Linked DNA regions of Schizosaccharomyces pombe. Changing the gene in region 1 together with any one later gene gives a genetic interaction. Each region holds a gene or a part of one and is shown in the gene's direction. Other genes may lie near its edges.

What was found.
Region 2: mutations in emc1 (region 1) and cbh1 together harm fitness more than expected from each alone (negative genetic interaction), as found in Schizosaccharomyces pombe (one large-scale study listed by BioGRID).
Region 3: mutations in emc1 (region 1) and SPOM_SPBC17A3.06 together harm fitness less than expected from each alone (positive genetic interaction), as found in Schizosaccharomyces pombe (one large-scale study listed by BioGRID).
Region 4: mutations in emc1 (region 1) and mmb1 together harm fitness more than expected from each alone (negative genetic interaction), as found in Schizosaccharomyces pombe (one large-scale study listed by BioGRID).

What each region holds. Positions count from the first base shown.
Region 1 is NC_003424.3:2,531,820-2,537,460, forward strand, and holds emc1 (protein Emc1), read left to right. Parts: upstream 1-1,966; 5' UTR 1,967-2,001; coding exon 2,002-4,659; 3' UTR 4,660-4,836; downstream 4,837-5,641. Other genes in the region: CAF assembly factor complex subunit B Pcf3, read left to right, coding at 1-860; atp19 (F0-ATPase subunit K), read right to left, coding at 1,085-1,109, 1,172-1,308, 1,351-1,395; ribosome biogenesis protein Sqt1, read right to left, coding at 4,882-5,641. UniProt on the Schizosaccharomyces pombe protein: Part of the endoplasmic reticulum membrane protein complex (EMC) that enables the energy-independent insertion into endoplasmic reticulum membranes of newly synthesized membrane proteins.
Region 2 is NC_003424.3:4,458,239-4,462,879, reverse strand, and holds cbh1 (CENP-B protein 1), read left to right. Parts: upstream 1-2,001; 5' UTR 2,002-2,110; coding exon 2,111-3,655; 3' UTR 3,656-3,960; downstream 3,961-4,641. Other genes in the region: pyridoxal reductase Plr1, read right to left, coding at 95-1,096. UniProt on the Schizosaccharomyces pombe protein: Binds to centromeric K-type repeat DNA and ARS3002 DNA. The CBH-binding consensus sequence is Py-Pu-A-T-A-T-Py-Pu-T-A.
Region 3 is NC_003423.3:1,411,197-1,414,795, forward strand, and holds SPOM_SPBC17A3.06 (phosphoprotein phosphatase), read left to right. Parts: upstream 1-1,668; 5' UTR 1,669-1,858; coding exon 1,859-2,851; downstream 2,852-3,599. Other genes in the region: SPOM_SPBC17A3.05C (J domain-containing protein), read right to left, coding at 166-911, 976-1,412, 1,467-1,495; mitochondrial glutathione reductase Pgr1, read left to right, coding at 3,300-3,351, 3,407-3,599. UniProt on the Schizosaccharomyces pombe protein: May be directly involved in signal transduction and/or cell cycle regulation. It is necessary for maintaining growth rate or spore germination. Could show both activity toward tyrosine-protein phosphate as well as with serine-protein phosphate.
Region 4 is NC_003423.3:2,607,818-2,612,410, reverse strand, and holds mmb1 (mitochondrial microtubule binder Mmb1), read left to right. Parts: upstream 1-1,770; 5' UTR 1,771-1,867; coding exon 1,868-3,373; 3' UTR 3,374-3,723; downstream 3,724-4,593. Other genes in the region: SPOM_SPBC25B2.08 (uncharacterized protein), read right to left, coding at 1-202; BTB/POZ family ubiquitin-type ligase substrate adaptor Btb2, read left to right, coding at 4,041-4,103, 4,306-4,593. UniProt on the Schizosaccharomyces pombe protein: Involved in the cell polarity process and in regulation of microtubule growth. Has a role in meiosis. Involved in microtubule dynamics.

The sequences.
Region 1 (5,641 bases):
AAATCTCGCAACGAATTCTTCATAATGGCGATGTAAATCGTGTTCGACACATGCCTCAAAACCCAAACATCATAGCTACTATGAGCTCTTGTGGAAATGCATATATATTTGATCGGACAAAATATACTTCAATGCCCGCTGAAGAATTTTTACCAAATATCTCTTTGATTGGGCACAAAAAAGAAGGGTTTGGACTATCTTGGAATCGTCAGCAAAATTGCCGACTTGTAACAGCTGCTAATGATTCGAAAATTTTAGAATGGGATCTAAATAATTTTAGCCGTGATACGAGGTGCTTAACTCCCGTAAAGGATTTTCATTATGATGATTCTCCGGTTAATGATGTTGAATATCATCCGCACCACACCAACTTATATATTGCTGTAAATGATAATGGAATTGCCTTTATTTGTGATAACCGACTTCAACAAACATGTTCGAAAACAGTTAAAGCTTCAAATCCCCTTTTTAGCGTCAGACATAATCCTTCAATTGCGACTTTGTTTGCTTTGGGGTCTGAGCAAGATTTACAGCTTTGGGACCTTCGGAACTTAAATAAATCGGTTTTTAACACTTCTGAAGACTTATCAGATAATAGATTAAAAGTGCCTTCTAGACTAACTCTAGGAGGCACCAGTTTGTCATGGAGCTGGAGACACTCTGGTCGGATTGTTAGTGCCTGCCAAGAGTATTGCTATGTGTGGAATTTTAACAAAGCTAATCCTTTGGAGTTTGTGCATGCAGGTCATAAAGGTACGGTGAATGAAGTGGACTTTGATCCGTTTGAGGCACAATGTATTGCTTCGGTTGCTGATGACAATGAATTACACATTTGGAAGCCCAATGTTATTGTTAATTAATAAATACTTACATCCATCACACGAGGTAATACAAAGTTTTAAGTTATACAGCAATTAATTAATTGCAATTTTGATGGGTATGTTGCAGGGCTATATTGTATTCATTCATCTTCAAATTTGCTCAACGTGTACATTAAAATTACCTAATGACATAGAGATATTTCATTACTAATGAAAAGATAATTTTTCACTCACTAATCGTCCGTTCGGTAATCAAGGATTTCCTACTTATGTTCTTCAATGTATTTCCTATAAAGTAGTATTAGTAAATATATTCCAAACACTCGCTATAGAGCAATAGCTTTACTTACAAAATGAATTCTTCTTCTTCTTTGCTTTTGGCATTCAAAGGAGGAACATCCTTTGCGCTAAGTGGCTTATTTCTTTTAAACAATTTACTATAGATCACAGGACCAACAAATACTGAACCGAGAACAGCTAAACTCAACTATGTTCATTGTTAGGTGTACGGAATTTGAAAAATACATACTTGATGAGCTTGGAATTGACGACCTGCAATTGTATAAACCGACATAATGCTTATATTTAATAGTGAATGATTGAATCAAGAGAAGGGAGGTAAAGGTTTAACACGGTTAGCAGCGAATATGAAGCCGACTGTAAACTTAGCAATCAATATATTCGTTAAATTAGCTTAACGAAAAATAAGGAATACAGTTATCACTTCAAGTACATATAAAATTGCAATAGAATCAACTACATGAAATTAGGAAGTTAGCTAGCTTTTGCCTTTTATATGAACTACTTCAAATTAGCAGATAAATAGTAAAAAATGTGATTATAGACATTTTGTTTGCATTTAGTACGTTTGCTAAACGTAGAGAATGTACAGGTGTTTCACAGCAAATTTTTAATTAACTGACTATTCTTTTTAAATATCTAAATTTTTCAATCATTCATCTTGCTGCGACATTGCTATACGCTTTCAAACCATATTGTTTAGTTTACAGTACCCAATGTGTATTTATTGCGAAAAGCATCGCTATAACAGCATATTCTTGGGACGCACTTCAGTAAACTGTGTTGTAGTTCGCTACTCCTCAGTATATTTGATACCTTGCATTAACAATAGGAACTATACAGGTACTGGACTACATACCATCTTTTCATATCAGTTACGATGTTACGGCCTCTGTGGCCTCTCTTTCTTACTGCTTTGTTTTTAAACATCTATAGAGCTGCCAGTGTTTTAATAGATGAAGCAGGGAAAAACGATTTCGAAATTTCTCTACTTGGTAAAGTTAATGACCTAGTTTATGACACCAAAAATGAATATCTGTATGCCGTTTCTCAGAAAGGCTTATTGGCGAAATTAAATGCATCAAACGGAGATGTGATTTGGCGCCAATCCATTGCACCTGAAACTAGTCAACTCAACTATAACCCAGTCACTAACTTTATTATCACCGTGGACAAAGATTATTTGTATATTTGGAATTCCAAAAATGGTATTTTGGACAGAAAAATTGAGCTCGCTGATGGAAAAGGTAAATTATTTGAGGTTAATAAAGGTTTTGTTTACCTCAATCCTCATACTCGCAAGTTCATAGAGTTGGATTTGCAAGCTTCATTTTCTATTTCAATTGAAAGGGATTTACAATTAGATGCTATTTCCTTTTTGACTTATGCTGAGAAAAACTACGTCTTGTTCAAGAGGGATGGTCAATTTGTTCTACAAGCTTTAGATCACAATTATGCTGTTTATGGACCTGAAACTGTTCTTAATGTTCCTGAAAACGCACAATTATTAGTCACAGAGAAAGATGTTATTATTTACTCTTCCAACGGTGTTATTTACGGTATCCATGTTTCTATGGCAGATATTTCTCAACTGCTTATAGATGAATATAAAACATTCGAATGGTCTAGTATACCTGGTAAGAGACATGGCTATTCAATTACAGTCGATTCTCAATCCACCCCAGTCACTTACCTCTTTGTTATCATTGATAGCGAATTTGTTTTGATTGATGAGTATATACATGAGGACACCGAAGCTCTAGGATATATCCATATGGAAGATAACCAAACATTTTCTCGAGTGTTTGCAGTGGCTAATCAAATTAAATTCGCACCAGCCACAGTAATTACCATTCCCAACCAGCTTTCTAGACCTGTATTCCGTTTATTTACATTTGCTGAGGGAGAAATTTCCGCAATTGTAATTTTGGACGACGGAACTTTCTTTTCATTTTCGAATACCGAATTAGTTTGGAAGCGGGAAGAAGCATTGGCATATGCTATCAATCCCTCTATTCTTCCAACAACTTTATTGACAAGCTACCAGAAATCCATTCAAGATGAGGAAAATTCATCGGTCTCTTTCTTAAATCGATGGTACCGTCATTTTAATCAACTCATAGATTTCTTGAAACATCCTCATGGTTTTACTTCATCCTCAGTATTGGATGATGCTTTTACCACGAAAATTATTATACCAACATCAACAGGATCTATATTTTGTTTATCCAGCGACCCTAAACAAGTGCACAGGATATTATGGCGCTATGATTTTAATATTAACCCGGAAAGTGTTGAATCTTGGCTATTGGATATTTCAGACGAAGATCCAAAATTTGCTTTTGTGCACCAGTGGAATGATGCTTTTAGCTTTTATATTTTGAATGCATCGGATGGGTCCGTGATATCTCAAAAATCTAGAGACTTTAAAGCTGACGAGTTTTACTACGTTGATAATATCTCCAAAAACTTACCTAATCAAATATTTGCCGTAAAAGATTATAAGGTTTTACCCTTGACCGGTGATAACTCAATATTCGAAAAAATTTCTCAAGAAGCCAATTCTATTTTTGTTTACACTTCTGAAACCAAAGTCGAAGGGTTCAGTATTTCTGCTGACCTTACAATGGATGTTCAATGGTCGTACAATCTAGCCGAGGGTGAAATAGTTATTGCTTCTATACGTCGTAATCCTCACGAAATAGTGGCTTCTTTCGGTCGTGTTTTGCAAAACCGTGAAGTAATGTACAAATATTTGAATCCCAATTTATTTGCGTTATTTTCAAAATGCAAAAACGATTTAGTCGTCTATGTAATGGACTCCGTTACCGGTTCTATAGTGTATCAGAATAAACACCAAGGAATAATATTGTTCGACAAAGTTTATGGAGTCTTCTCCGAGAATTGGCTTGTTTATAGTTATCAGAGCGATGTGCCTAATTTGTCTACCAAGATAATATCAGTTGAGCTTTTTGAGGGATCTCACTCTAACGAAAAAATCGACAGCAACGAAATATATTCTCGTCATAATGATTACAGGCCCTATGCGTTCACTAAAGCATATATATTCGATAGAGAAATTACGACTTTGGGTGTCACCAACACTCCGCAGGGCATCACCTCGAGAGATGTTTTACTTGGCCTATCAAGTAACCAAGTTGCAATGATTCCACAAGCTCTTTTGAGCCCTATGCGCCCAGTCCTTAGACCTAATGAAAAAGCAAATGATGCGTCCTTTATCCCATACGAACCCATTATACCATTGAACGATGATATGGTGTTGTCTTACAACAAGCGCGTGTACGGAGTATCTCAAATCACTTCTGGTATTACTAATTTTGAAAGTACGACGTTGGTTTTATCAACCGGACTTGATGTTTTTTTTACCAGAACAGCTCCAAGTATGCCATATGACATGCTCAGTAGCCATTTTGATAAGAAACAACTTATGTTGACCACTTTTGGCATTCTGCTCGCCGTTCTGTTAACAAAGCCTTTGGTAAAGAAAAAGCAGCTTAATACCAAATGGTACAATTAAAAACACCATGGAGAATAAAAATATACTTGATTAGATTTGCTACAGATTATATAGGAATAATAATTCTTGGATAAAACACTAGTTTACTTGTATTACTTGTTTACTCAATAGTTTAAAAAAAAAATATTAATCCCCATGAATATATATAAATTAATATCGAACGCGTTTATCCCATAATAATAATTTTTTTTTCTTTTCAAAAAATTAACCTTTTTAACACTTTTAATGTTCGCAATCAAAAACAAGTAATTCGGTGTCATCAGAACCGGTTACAACACGTTTACCATCTGGAGTAATAGCCATACACAAGATAGGCTCTTGATGGCCTGTATACTCGCCAAGTAATTGGCCAGACCGAACATCCCATTTTCGAATAACACAATCCGCGCATGCAGTCAACAAATATGGAGTGTTGGGTAAAAACTTACAATCAATAACCGCTTGTTCATGGGGAAGGGATTTTCTAAACTTAAGGGATGCAGAATCGTAAAGCGCGACAGTACCATCGACACTAGCACACGCACATATAGGTAAGGCCGTGCAAAGTGCGATAGCTTCTACACTTTCAGTTTGGGCCTCCAAAGAAGCAAGAATATGACTACTATTAATGTTGACAACTTTTACTTTTCCTGACGAACCTCCTAAGAAAAGAACGTTACCTTCAGCATTACAGTCGAAGCTGGTCCAACCGGCGGCAGTTTCTTCATTACCAGGATCAAAGCGATGATCATCACTAGACATTCTGCATTCTGGTGCTCCAGTAGCCGGGTTCCAAACAATTAATGTACCAGAATCATCTACGGTTGCTAAACGCTTGCCAACACCGGGTGGGATGAATTTTCCAGCATTTACAGGTGCCGTATGGCCATACATAACCTGAACCACCTTACCAGAGGGAAGACTCCACATCCATATACTTCCGTCATTACAACCGGCGGCTAAGAACAAGCCCTTAGGGTGCCAAGATAACCAAACAATTTCG
Region 2 (4,641 bases), 1.9 Mb from region 1:
CTGAATACCTAAGTAAGGCTAGCATATAATAAGTTTATATTTAATATGCATTTCAAAACTGAAATGCGAAAGAGTATCGACTAACTTCAGCACTTTAAACGGAAAGAGTGCCCGCAAGCTGTTCATTATAACGTAACCCGTAGATTGGGTATTTACTCAAGACCTCTTTGGCCTCTTTAAATTGTTCAGGAGACAAAGATTTATTCAGTGCATTGAGATTGCTCTTTGTACGAGAAACAGATGTGGAGCCAGGAATAGGAATGACCAGACCGTTTCCAGACGCCATTATAAAAAGAAGTGAAAACTCGGGCATAGTCATACCAAACTTTTTAGCAAGTTGCTCGACAGCTTGGAGGAATGGAAGATTTTTAGCAAAAACATCAGGGCTAAATCTGTCCAAATATTCTAAGAATGGGAAAGATTTAGCAAATTCTTTAAGGTCTTCGACAGTCTTAATGCGACCAGTCAAAAGGCCACGACAGAAAGGAGAGTATGCAATAATAGGGATAGATAACTTCCTACAAATATCCATAATACCGTTTGTCTCGATATCACGAGAAAACAAGGAGTATTCGACTTCGACTGCAGCAATGGGGACCACAGCGTGAGCACGTTTGATAGTTTCAGCAGAAACTTCGCTAAGGCCGACACATGAAATCTTTCCAGAGTCCACAAACCCCTTCAATGTCTTCATGGTTGTCTCAATGGGAACATTTGGGTCGACTCGAGCACATTGGAAGAGATCTAGCTTTTTGGTCCCACGTAAATGAGCTATCACATTTTCAACACTCTTTGACACGAAGTCCGGATTTCCATCAGGAACTAGTGTTTTAAAATCCAAACCACCTTTGACAGATAAAAACACCTTATTAGCGTTTTCGGGATATTTTTCAAAATATCTAGCTAATAAATCTAAATTAGAGGTGGGAGGGTCGACACCATAAAATTCACCCGCATCCCAATAATTGGAGCCTTGGGATAAGGCATAATTCATTACTTCAAAGGCTTCTTCATCTGGAGTTTGCTTGGGCTTCCAGGTTAAACCCATAAGACCAAAGCCAATAGGTCCGACTTTAAATCCGCTAACGATAGGCATCTTTTCACAACTTTAATTTAAAAATGCTTAACTCTGTAAATATCAAATGTGTATTCTCAATTTTAAGCGAATAATATTGGAAAAACTAAGCTGCTAGGTATGCAAAGCTTGCTATTTATATGATAACGGTACCGTATGCTGTAAGAATTTCCTAATGGTTCTTTGAGACGATGCTTACTAATTAGTTCTACTGTTAATAATAATGAATCAAACGTAAGTAACACCTACTCTTCGTACCGTAACTAGCTTAAACAGCTTTGTTCTTTATTTTTGGCTTTGCTTTTATAAATTTACTTCTACATTTTTAAACATTGGATCACACGTGTAACATACATTATTGAAATAGACTTGATAGTAAGTATTATGAATTGAACTATGAATGGAAATATTGGAATTAAAAGTAATTACACCAAAACTGAGAACTTACATATTATGTTATTTGAAAATTCGAGAATTTATTAAATGAAAGAGAAGGGAAAATGCTCATGAACTTCAGAATCGCCATTTTTGTTACAATACCAAGGAACATTTATTTATTTACACATTTTTGTTTAATAGTGAGAAGAGGTGTGCTACAGAAATGAAATTTGAGGAAGTATTCAATTAGACTCTCATTTAAAACATATATGAGAATTGATTTTAAACGGTTTCTAACAGCGTTCATGTCGTTCTTTCTCCTATTTTTTGCTCTTGAATTCTCTTTTTCTTACTGACAAAATCGTTAAGATACGCAAATTTGCTATATTAACCTGAACGTCATAATTTGAGCATCTCCAATGGCATTGTTATTACAGATTAACAATAGGTTCGGTATATTGCACTTAGATTATATAGGGTGCAAGGCAGAAGGATGCACTAGTAGTACTCACCTTCTTAAACCCTACAAGGATAGAATTCGTCTTTTCACCGTTATTTCCGATATCTACTACAACATAAAATAATTGTATAAATCCAAGGCTATACTCTTATATCGGTCTGGAAAAGTATCGGCATAGTAAGTATTAAGGAAAATCAATGCCTCCTATACGCCAGGCCGTCTCTTTAGCAGAGAAAAAGGCAATTCGAGATTATTATAACCAATCTGCCCATAGAATTCCTCAAAAGGAAGTGACAGAATGGTTTCGAAAAACGTACAATAAAGATTTATCGCAGTCAACGATTTCCGAAATTCTTTCACCCAAATACAGTTATTTAGATGATGGAAGTGTAAGACTCGGTGATATTAAAAAAATTCGAGCTCCAAAGTTTCCTTTGCTTGACAATGCCGTGTACGAATGGTTGCAACAAAGAGAAGTTGAAGGCCTTCCTATATCAGGGGATATGATCAAACAAGCTGCTACTCGATTTTGGTCGAAAATTCCGGCGTATGCTTCTCTCCCATTACCAGACTTTAGCAATGGTTGGTTGGATAAATTTAGAAGAAGACATTATATCCAGCAAAGTGCGGTAAATCAGGCATTGGAATCCATCAAATTTGAGGTGTTTAGAGAATACCCAGTTCATATTCAAGAGTTTATACGGCCTTATGCCCAAAAAGATATATTTTGCGTTGGAGGGACAAGCCTTTTTTGGAAACTCACTCCTAATAAACAAAACTTGGATTATCAGGAAATCCAGGGAATGAAGCGTGGAAAAGCCAAAGTGTCTTTAATTATGTGTTGCAATGCCGATGGGTCAGAACGACTACCTTTATGGATCGTGGGTTATGCACAAAACCCAAGATCTTTTGAGCAGTGCGGTATTTTCCCTAAAAGTATGAACTTCGAATGGAAGTGGAATGGCCGAGCTTCAATTTCACCAATTATTATGGAGGAATGGCTTCGGTGGTTTGACACACGTATGCAAGGACGCAAGGTCCTATTGATGTTAGAGAGCAATGACACATATCAGTTCGGTGTTGAAAGTGTTCGACGGTTTAAAGGTGGTTTTCAGAACACCTCTGTATTTCGAATTCCAGAAAAAACATTGGACATTAAGTCTCCGTTTGAACAAGGAATAGTCGATACATTTAAAGCGAATTATCGAAGATACTGGTTGCAATACTCCCTTAATCAAATCAACATATTGAGAGATCCTCTAAAAGCCGTTAATGTTTTAAAAGCCATTCGGTGGATGCTTTGGTCTTGGAATTTTGGGGTGAGTGAAAAGACTATTCAAGCATCTTTTCTCCGATCAGGATTATTGGGTCCACATTCCGAGGCCGAAGGACAAGGAATGGAGTCGTATCAAAAGGCCATTATGGAAATTGGTAATCTGATTTCAAGCAAGGGCAGCGAAGCTGTTAAGCAAATTAATGAATACATTAGACCTTCTGAAGAAGATGAAACCAAATTACATCAAGATGCTGTGGATACCGTTGCTGCAGAGTTTCTGGAGGAGAGACGCTTTGAGTCGGATGAGGAAGAAGACGTGGAGCCTCAAATATCAAACGTGGAGGCTGCCATGGCCTTTGAAGTCTTAATAAAATATTTTGAGCAACACGAAAATGGGGATCCCTCGTTTGTTTTAGATTTGTACCGCAGACAAAGAGTGATTGCCCCTAATAATTTAATAGCGTGATCCACTTACGGAAATAAATTGAGAGCGAGTCTTACTAAACCCAATAAGTGCTTCACGTTGGATGATTTCAATCTCCAAAGCAAACAAATTTCCAAAAAAAAAATATAGTGAAACAAAAGTCGACACTCGTACAAAATTACTTTTTTTAATTGAGATTAATGTTTCTGCTTACTTTTGGTTAACTATGGCGGGCGGCTTTGAACCCTTCTCGTTTAATATTCTTTTAAATTCACTTAGTGTGTGTACATATACCTGAACAACAAAACATTTTATAGGATTCTAATGATATTATGAATTATTAATGATTTTTTTTGTATAAACTGTGTCACATTGTGTTTTCCTTTGTTGTATGCAAGACAGAGATATAGAGAAGCAGTGAGAACAATTAATAAATAAAAATCAGTTAGCGCGCAAATGAAAAATAAAGCATTAAGCAATGATGCTTTAATAATTTAATTTAATTTAATTTAATTTAAATGCTATAGATGATGAATGATCATATGGTTTTGTGAGTGAGATGCTGTTTGAGTTGTTGCGCTGGTAAACCACTATTGGAAATGCTAGAAAAATGGGTAGGGGTTTTGATATGACTTTAAGTCCGAATCTGAAAACCGAACCATTAATTTTAATAGCTAGGTAAAAAAGCCACACACAATCAGAGATTTTACCAAAACAAGACATAAAAAAATCACATTATGGATATGAGGCAACTGGAGTGTGGAATTTAAGGAAATATGTTTATATAATTATGAGTTTTCATTGAGCTACAAAACAGAAGATATATTTCATTGAATAATTTCTGTAGTGATGACCCACTTTAAAAAAAAAAAAATTTGAAAGTAGAGTAAACAAAATGGAATATGCCATTTTTAAAATACACACTAGAATGATCCACACTAGCTATGGTGATCTTAAAGTATATATACATATCTTCTTAAATCTTGAAAGTTTTGCTTATCAGATCTTTAACGCGCTCCAGTACGAAA
Region 3 (3,599 bases), on another chromosome or scaffold:
AACCGAAGAGGCAGGCTTTAAGATACGCGTAAAGAATATTAGTTTTGTTCCAAAAACCCAATTAAAATTTTTATGAAAGTAAACAACACGAGAATAGGTATAGATGTGAATTAAAGAAAATGAAACAAAACAAAGGACAAGGAAGTATGTCTCAAAGACTATTGCTTAAAAATAATAACTGTTTGAATAAGTTCGATAGCCAAGGCGGTTTAATTCTTCGCAATTAGGTAAACGCAATTCTTTAGCCTTCTTCAGTGCCTCTTTATCAGGAAAGAACCATCCTTGAGCTCTTCGAATTTCGTCTTCTTTAATTTGTTGCTCGCGCAAACAAGCATTATGGACGTTTTGAGTATACGTATGCTCGACTTTTTCGTTGAGTCTTCTTATATCTCTTGAACTTAGCTTATCCAAATCCTTTTGGCTCATATAGTATGGAATGTTATGCTTGGCAGTAGTACGAGGAACAGTGTATTTATAGTTTTGTTGAAATGAATAGCGCGTATTAACCGACGTACTATCTGACCAACTAAAGTTGGACAAAAAGGCAAAAAGGATTACCACTATCAAAGGTAGCAACTGATAAAATATGCTCTTTGGGGGCATGTCCTGGGCCTGCTGACGACGTGCAAAATTCCTTGGACGGCCGCCAAACTGATGAACTCGAATGCCAGGTCCACCACCGAAGAAAAATGTTCCTGGACCTGAAAAGAACTGGTCACCAAAGAAAGAATTGAACAAATCTTCGGGAGACATATTCGCTTGAGGATAAGCAGAAAATCCAGGATGGCCTCCTGCGTTACTACTAAAAGAGCTGCTCGCAGCAGAGGCGCGAGATTCAGGATCCATTCCTGTACGGTCGTAGTGTGCTCGTAGATTAGGGTCTGATAAAACCTGAAAGGCTTTTGAAACCACTATAAAAAAGTTAGGATACAAAAAAAAACCTTAAAAATTATTAGCTAAAAAATGAAGACGTACTTTTAAATGCTTCGTCAGCACTAGGTGCGTGATTTTTGTCTGGATGGAGCTGTAATGCTAATTTTTTATAAGACTTTTTGATTTCTGTATCAGTGCAGGTTTTCTTTAAATCCAATATTTCATAGTACTGGTGATTTTTGTACTTTATGATTTTCTGGACCAACAAATGTTGTTCGCTTGTCCACTTCTGTTTCTTTTCACCAGCAGAGCTATTCCCATTTTCCCGCACCGACTGTTTTTCAGAAAAAAAGTTACTCTTGTTTTCTTGCTTAGGAGTTGCCTGAGGATTTGGAGAACCTGTAAGCTTTTGCTTTTCTATTTGTTTCACAAAATCTTCGCCCTCAGTGGTAGCATGAATTCGCAAAGATTTATTAGCAAATTTTAAAGCCTTATCATATTCTCCGGCATTTAAATACTTTCTTGCAAGTCCAATGCATCTACACGTAACATGTGTTAGTAATAAAATCTCACGCAATCCTCATTATTCGTACCTAAGGGCTTCTTCTCTACTAGATTCCATTTTGGTGATATGAAAGAAGGAAATTAAGTCCAAGTTTGATGAGAGAACCAAAGTTTCAAGTGCCTTCAATCTCTGCCAACTTTGTACTTGGATGGATCGATGCTACCAGAAACCCTTTAAACCAAGTAACATATCGAAGGTCAAGTGGCTTAAGTAACATGCACTTTTGAATCAATCCAAACACCAAAAACAGGAATAAAAGGGAAAACTAATTGATATATTTAAAATAATTCAAAAAGAGCATTTTTTGGTTTTGGTTGTTTGCCAAGCGAAATAATTAGAGTAATTGGAAAAGTTAAGTGTTTTTCATGTTTTTATGTTTCTTTCGGTTTCAAAGTGGTAAATCAGAAACTTAATAATAGAATGAGCAACAAAAGTGCATGGCAACCTCAGTTTGATGAAATTCACTCATCCGTTCAAGAAGCAGAAGGGTTTTTACAGTCTAGCAACGATGTACAGAAAGCTATAGACGAGGTGCATTATCCTGACAGCCTCAATGACTTGTCGGAAATATCAAAAAATTTGTATATTAGTAGTTGGAAAACGGCGTCAGAGCTAGTGTCTACTTCAGACAAAGGGATCGATTATACATTAAGCGCTATGAGTATTAATCCCAATTTGTCGGTTCCTGAACAACAACACCTTTGGTTGCAAATTGAAGACTCTAGTTCTCAAAATATTCTGCAATACTTCGAAAAGTCAAATAAATTCATCGCTTTTGCACTATCTAAAAATGCCAAAGTTTTGGTTCACTGCTTTGCGGGCATATCAAGGTCCGTAACCTTAGTGGCTGCATACTTGATGAAGGAAAACAATTGGAATACTGAGGAAGCACTCTCCCATATTAATGAAAGGCGCTCTGGAATATCTCCTAATGCTAATTTTCTTCGTCAACTTCGCGTATACTTTGAGTGTAATTACCAACTTGATCGAAGTTTGCGCCCATACCGCCAATGGCTGTTCAGAAGATATGGTGATTTCGCGGTGTTGAATACTAGGGTACCATCTGAAGTCGCTTACGCTGAGACTGTCCGTGCCCGTGCAGGACAATTAGAGCTTCGCTGTAAAAAATGTCGGTTTGTCCTTGCCAGCTCTGATTATCTGGTATCGCATGAACCGAAAGATGAAAATAATTATTCTCATACAAGATGTACTCATTACTTTTTGGAACCTATTCGCTGGATGCAGCCAGAATTGGAGTTGGGAAATTTGGAAGGTCGATTTGATTGTCCAAAATGCAATTCTAAAATTGGTTCTTATAAATGGCAAGGTTTACAATGCAGTTGTCTTCAATGGGTTTGTCCAGCTTTAAGTATTTTACAGTCGCGTGTAGACGCTGTTAGGAAACTCGGTTGATTTTTTTTTCTGCGTGTGTGAATCATCCACTTGCTTCAAAGTTAATGTATATTAGGAAGATCGCTCTAGGTTTTCAAATCATCTATGTTTATTACAAAAAAATGGTTTATCTTAAAACATTGGTTGCTTTTCCAGAGTTGTCGATGAGATCTTGTAATTAAAGTACTAACCAGTTCTGAATACTTATTTTTTAATAAAAACTCTATACTATCATTGGCCTGAGAAAAGTATTTCCATCTGTTCAATGGCAAAGTCTAAGGAATTCTTCTAATCTAATTATCACTTTATGGAGGTATTGCTTACTTTTGAAGATGACTAATATTGCCATAAAATTTCCTAATATTATCATAACGAATTCATGGTAAAGACGTCTTACCCTTACCTTCCGTTGGTTTATAACAGTATTCAACTTCTTCATTACCTATATACACGAAGTATTAAAACTAGAATGGCACCTATTTCAAAGGTCTTTGATTACCTGGTAATTGGTGGTGGAAGTGGTAAGTACAATTCGATACTTTCGGGATTTGATGGGTTAACATTTATGAATATTAGGCGGTTTGGCTTCGGCTCGTCGTGCTGCCAAACATGGAGCCAAGGTTGCTTTAATTGAGGCATCTGGGCGCCTTGGAGGCACATGTGTAAATTATGGATGTGTACCCAAAAAGATTATGTGGAATATTGCTGATCTCGTCGCAAAGATGAAAACAGCAAAGCAAAATGGATTCCCTAACAGTCAGTTAGGTAG
Region 4 (4,593 bases), on another chromosome or scaffold:
AACGCTTGACAGAAGTATGTTTCTTAATACCAGAACGGGAACGATTATGCATAGGGGTATTTAATTTTTCACTCGATATACATAACTTAGAGGGATCTTCAATGTTGACAGAAGTAGGAAGTTGCGATGGACTGCGCATATCATTTGCCTGCGCATCATTAGTGCCTTGACGGGTATAACTGGAATTTTGATGTGGAAGCATGGTAATAAATTTTAAGAAAAAGAGAAAATAAAAGTAAAATGGAAACAAATCACAATCAAAGGTGAAGTGATGGGATTAAAGGTTTTAATGAGAAAATAATTCGACAAATATGTAACAAAGGGAAACTTTTTTTTTGAATTACACGAAATGTTTTCAAACTTGAATTATGCACAAAATTAGAGAAACCTGAGAATAATAAATAAGCTTGATAATCCAAATAGCCAAGGGATTAATGGGATATAGGGTTGTAGTGATATTTCGGGTGTTTAATTTATTTAGAAATGGGTATAAAGTCCAGACTGTAAACAGAAAATAATCAGTAAACGAAATCTTTAGTGTTCCGTCCGAAAGAAGTTACCCTAACGAGATATGAAATTATGCGAACAGACGAAGTTTTAGAAGCCGACAATTGAATAAATAAAGGATCAAACTTGCTTAGTTTTATCGAAGGAAGCAAAGCAAGAGAACCGTGAGTAGGAAATAGAAAGTGAACAGTAATAAAAAAAAGTAAAACAGTAGGGAACGTTTTCTTAGAGCTTATTACAATTACGAAAAATAAAGCTTATCCCAATTGAGATAGTTAAAAAAAAAGGAACGAAATAAAACGATATGAAAGACAACAAAGGATGGAAAAACAAAAACAAACCGCTGAATGAATTAATCAAAAGAAAGCGGAAAAATTAATAAATACTCATCAATAGAGTAGCACAAGATGAAGCGAAGGGAGTAGGACAAGGCGTTAAGCCTGCGTTTAGTCTGAACAATAGATATAGACTAAAAAGTGAAAGACGGAATTTCAAAGTCTTAATTGGGGTATTCTATGTATATATACGTCCATATCTGGTAACATTTGCAAACCGTCTTTGATGTCAATTTAATAAGGAACCGAAGGTAACTTGCACACCTTGAGCAGTGACTGGGAGTAACACTCTCCTTGACATTCCCTCGGTACATAGGAGACGAATGAACCGAATGAACAAATAAACTAGATAGTTGCCCAAAAATGCACACAAAGCATTATCACTTTTATTAATTCAAATAACGACATACCAAAGTCGTAAAAGTTGGTAACAAACTCTTCAAATGATATTTCTACTATAACATTTTTCGTAGTACTTACCACTACGGGAGATTTGTAGAATCGGTATGATGCTGTGGAAGAAGAGTTATAGCGGGTTTCCTCAATGTGTACATGTTATTCTCATTGTACACTTGCATCTTAATTTTCACATTGCTCTCTCCCATCAATGATTTGCTTTGGAAAAACAACGGGAACAGAAATCTGGGAGGGAACGGAAAAGTATATTCATAGCAATCACAATTTAACGATAATTATTATGGTCAAATGAATACATATATTGAAAAGAATCGGTCAGCTGGATAGAAAATATGTAAACAGTGCAGCACTTATGAAGGTAATTTTATTTGTTTGCATCAGGTAGCAAGAGTTTTACGGGGATTAATAGAATTCGTTATATATACACTAACAATATAGGACGTAGTTTGTTATTGCTACCTAGTGTTGGGCGATACCAGCTAACGGTGTAGTGTATTTGGCTTTCTCTTTTGTGCATTCAGGGTTGTTGATTGCGAGTCTTATTCAATTTTATTCTGCCAATGCCGGGTTCACCAAGCCAAGAGCCTTTGGCAGAGGCCGAGTCTAATATGCTTCAAAGACTGGAGCAACTACAAATGCAAACATCGAATATTCTCAAGGAACTGCATTCTACGTCGATTTTCACGGATTCTACCACCTCACAACTTCATAATGGAGGTGAGAACTCTGTAATGGATACTGAGGAATCCTCGGCTATTGATAAATTAAGTGCCTCTTTACAGCAAGTAAACATTTCTTCACCATCAGTTCCTACCTCTCAATCTCGGGTTACCCAAGGCCAGTCATTAGGAAATACCCAAATATCTAATCCTACTTCAAAGACTAATAATGTACGAGCCAAAGCTCGGAATATTCGTAATCCCTCTCAACGTCTTCGACCCTCGACTAGTTTGGCCAGGTTATCAAATAACGCACCTCGCATTCCCAAAGAGGCATCACTACATGAGAATTCAATTTCTTCCAAGGAATCTCCTTCTGTAACGACCTCTAAACATGTCGCTACTATTACAAAACCTTCAACGTCGTCTATCGCCCGAATGTCCTCAAATGCTAGAATTGCTGCTATTCCGAGAGCGAAATCTTCAATGGCAGTTCGTTCACCATCACGCCTTGGTAATGGCCCGAATGTGCGCTCACCAAAGGTCGGCTTCAATGCAAAGTCGGATGATAGCCCCGTCGTCAAATCTCCTGGCTCTAACGACAAGCCTTCAGCTTCTCCTCGAATTTCTGTTCGTTCTCTCGGAAATTCTTCTGTCGTTCGTCCACCCACAAGGACTTCCACCACCCGTCCATTATCTAGAGTTAACGTAACAAATGCTTCCGGAAGTATCTCAAAGAATTCTACTAGTCCTTCCAAAGTAAAAGTCAACGCATCGACCAAGATCGTGCGTCCTGTAAGTGCAGCTCAGACTGTCCGACCGGGATCCAGAATCTTCAGAGAAAACTCTGCGTCCAATACTCAAAGACCCAACGTCTCTGCCACTTCTAACTCAACTGTTCGGGTAGCTTCTTCATTAGCTGTACGACCTGTTTCACGTAACGCGCAGGCGCGTACTCCCTCAAGATTAGAACAGAGAGAAGTTAATGTGAAAAATTCATCAGCTAAAATCGTTCGTCCAGGTACTTCTTTAGGTGTTCGTTCACCTTCTCGCATTCAATCCACTCTCTCTTCGAGGACAACTACAGGCAATGTTCGTACTAAAGCGGCTAATATCGTTCGTCCTTCTTCATCAATCAACCGTCGCCCTCCTTCGTCAATAAATCAACGCCCTCCTTCAAACTTGCGCATTTTGGCTCCATCTCGCTCGCGTGCAACAATTCATGAGAGACCAAGCAGTTCAATTTTACACAGGCATGCCCATTCACTAACTTCTTCATCCTTTTCCACTAAAACATTGGCTACAACCAAAGAAATTCAGAATTCGCCTACTTTGGTAGAGTCTTCGACAGTCGTTCATCATGATCCTTCTTATCTTCAAAACCAAACTTCCGAAATTAACGATACTAATCACTCTTCTCATTCGTCACCTTTGGACCTTAACAGAATGATATAAAAGTTGAGTGAGCTGCTGTAATTTGATGGCTTCTGTTCCATTTACACTTATTATTCTGCATAATTTATATCACATGTAGATGTTTTATCATAAGGATATTATTATTAAAAATAAGACAAACCATACGGGAAGAATTGGATGTTACGATTTGATATATTACTTTGTATTACTTAAGATCAGCTAATTAATAGCTTTTAAGCTGAAATTATGTTGCATAGGTTTATTCAGTTGAAAGCTTCACGACTGACTTGATGATAGTCGAGAAGTTTAGAGGGATGCGCTCTGTGTTAAAATTCAGCATGCAGCAACATCAGCATACAACCGATATGTAATAAATTAACATTAACAAACTGGCATTGTTTTCGTGCTCTATCAACTATCAGCAGTAAGTAATTGAAGACATTATGAAGTAAATGAGATTGCTGCATTACTAATTCATTTAGCAAAAAATTAAGTAAATAGAAGGGTTAATTTGTGCAACTTGTACGGTATATTTTGGATAGCGCAATTACGTTACGATTCATAACTGCAAGAATATCGAGCTACTCCAGTGCGCTTTCCTTAGGAAACCAAAACAATATTTTAGTACCTTTTTTTTAAATATTACTGACGAGTTTCATTCTGATTTCTTTTTATTACTCCTAACGGATGTGGCTTTAATACAATCATGTCAATGAACAGCTCAACGGAAATTTCTCAAGAGCCCTCTATAATGAAACCGGTATCTTCAGTAAGTATTTTTGCTATTTGAACTTCTGCGTACCTTGAGTCTCAGTTCTTGTATGAACTTTACTCTCAAATTAATGGTTGTTTGCGTAGTTAATTATTTTGGATTTATTGTTAAATCGTTCATGTTTTGTTTAACGATTTCCAAACAAAAAAAGTCTGAATATTTTACCTCTCCTTCAAAGAGTTTGTCTAACCCTAGCTAGATTTCAAGTTTCGTATTTAATGCAGGATTTTTACAGGGAACTTTCTCTGACACTACTCTCATTATAAAAGGTGAAACATATCATTTGCATGCCCTTTTTCTTGGCAGATCACCTGTTCTTCTACAAAAGCTTATTGAAAATAATCCCAAAGGTGATGTACATTATACCATAGAAGTAGAGACAGAGGATCCCTATGTTACTAAGGAATCCTGTTTGTTTGTGCTTTCTACATTGTATTGCGATTCCCCAAGAATCCCTGCTGAGGTGAATGTTTGTTCTGTTTTAGCG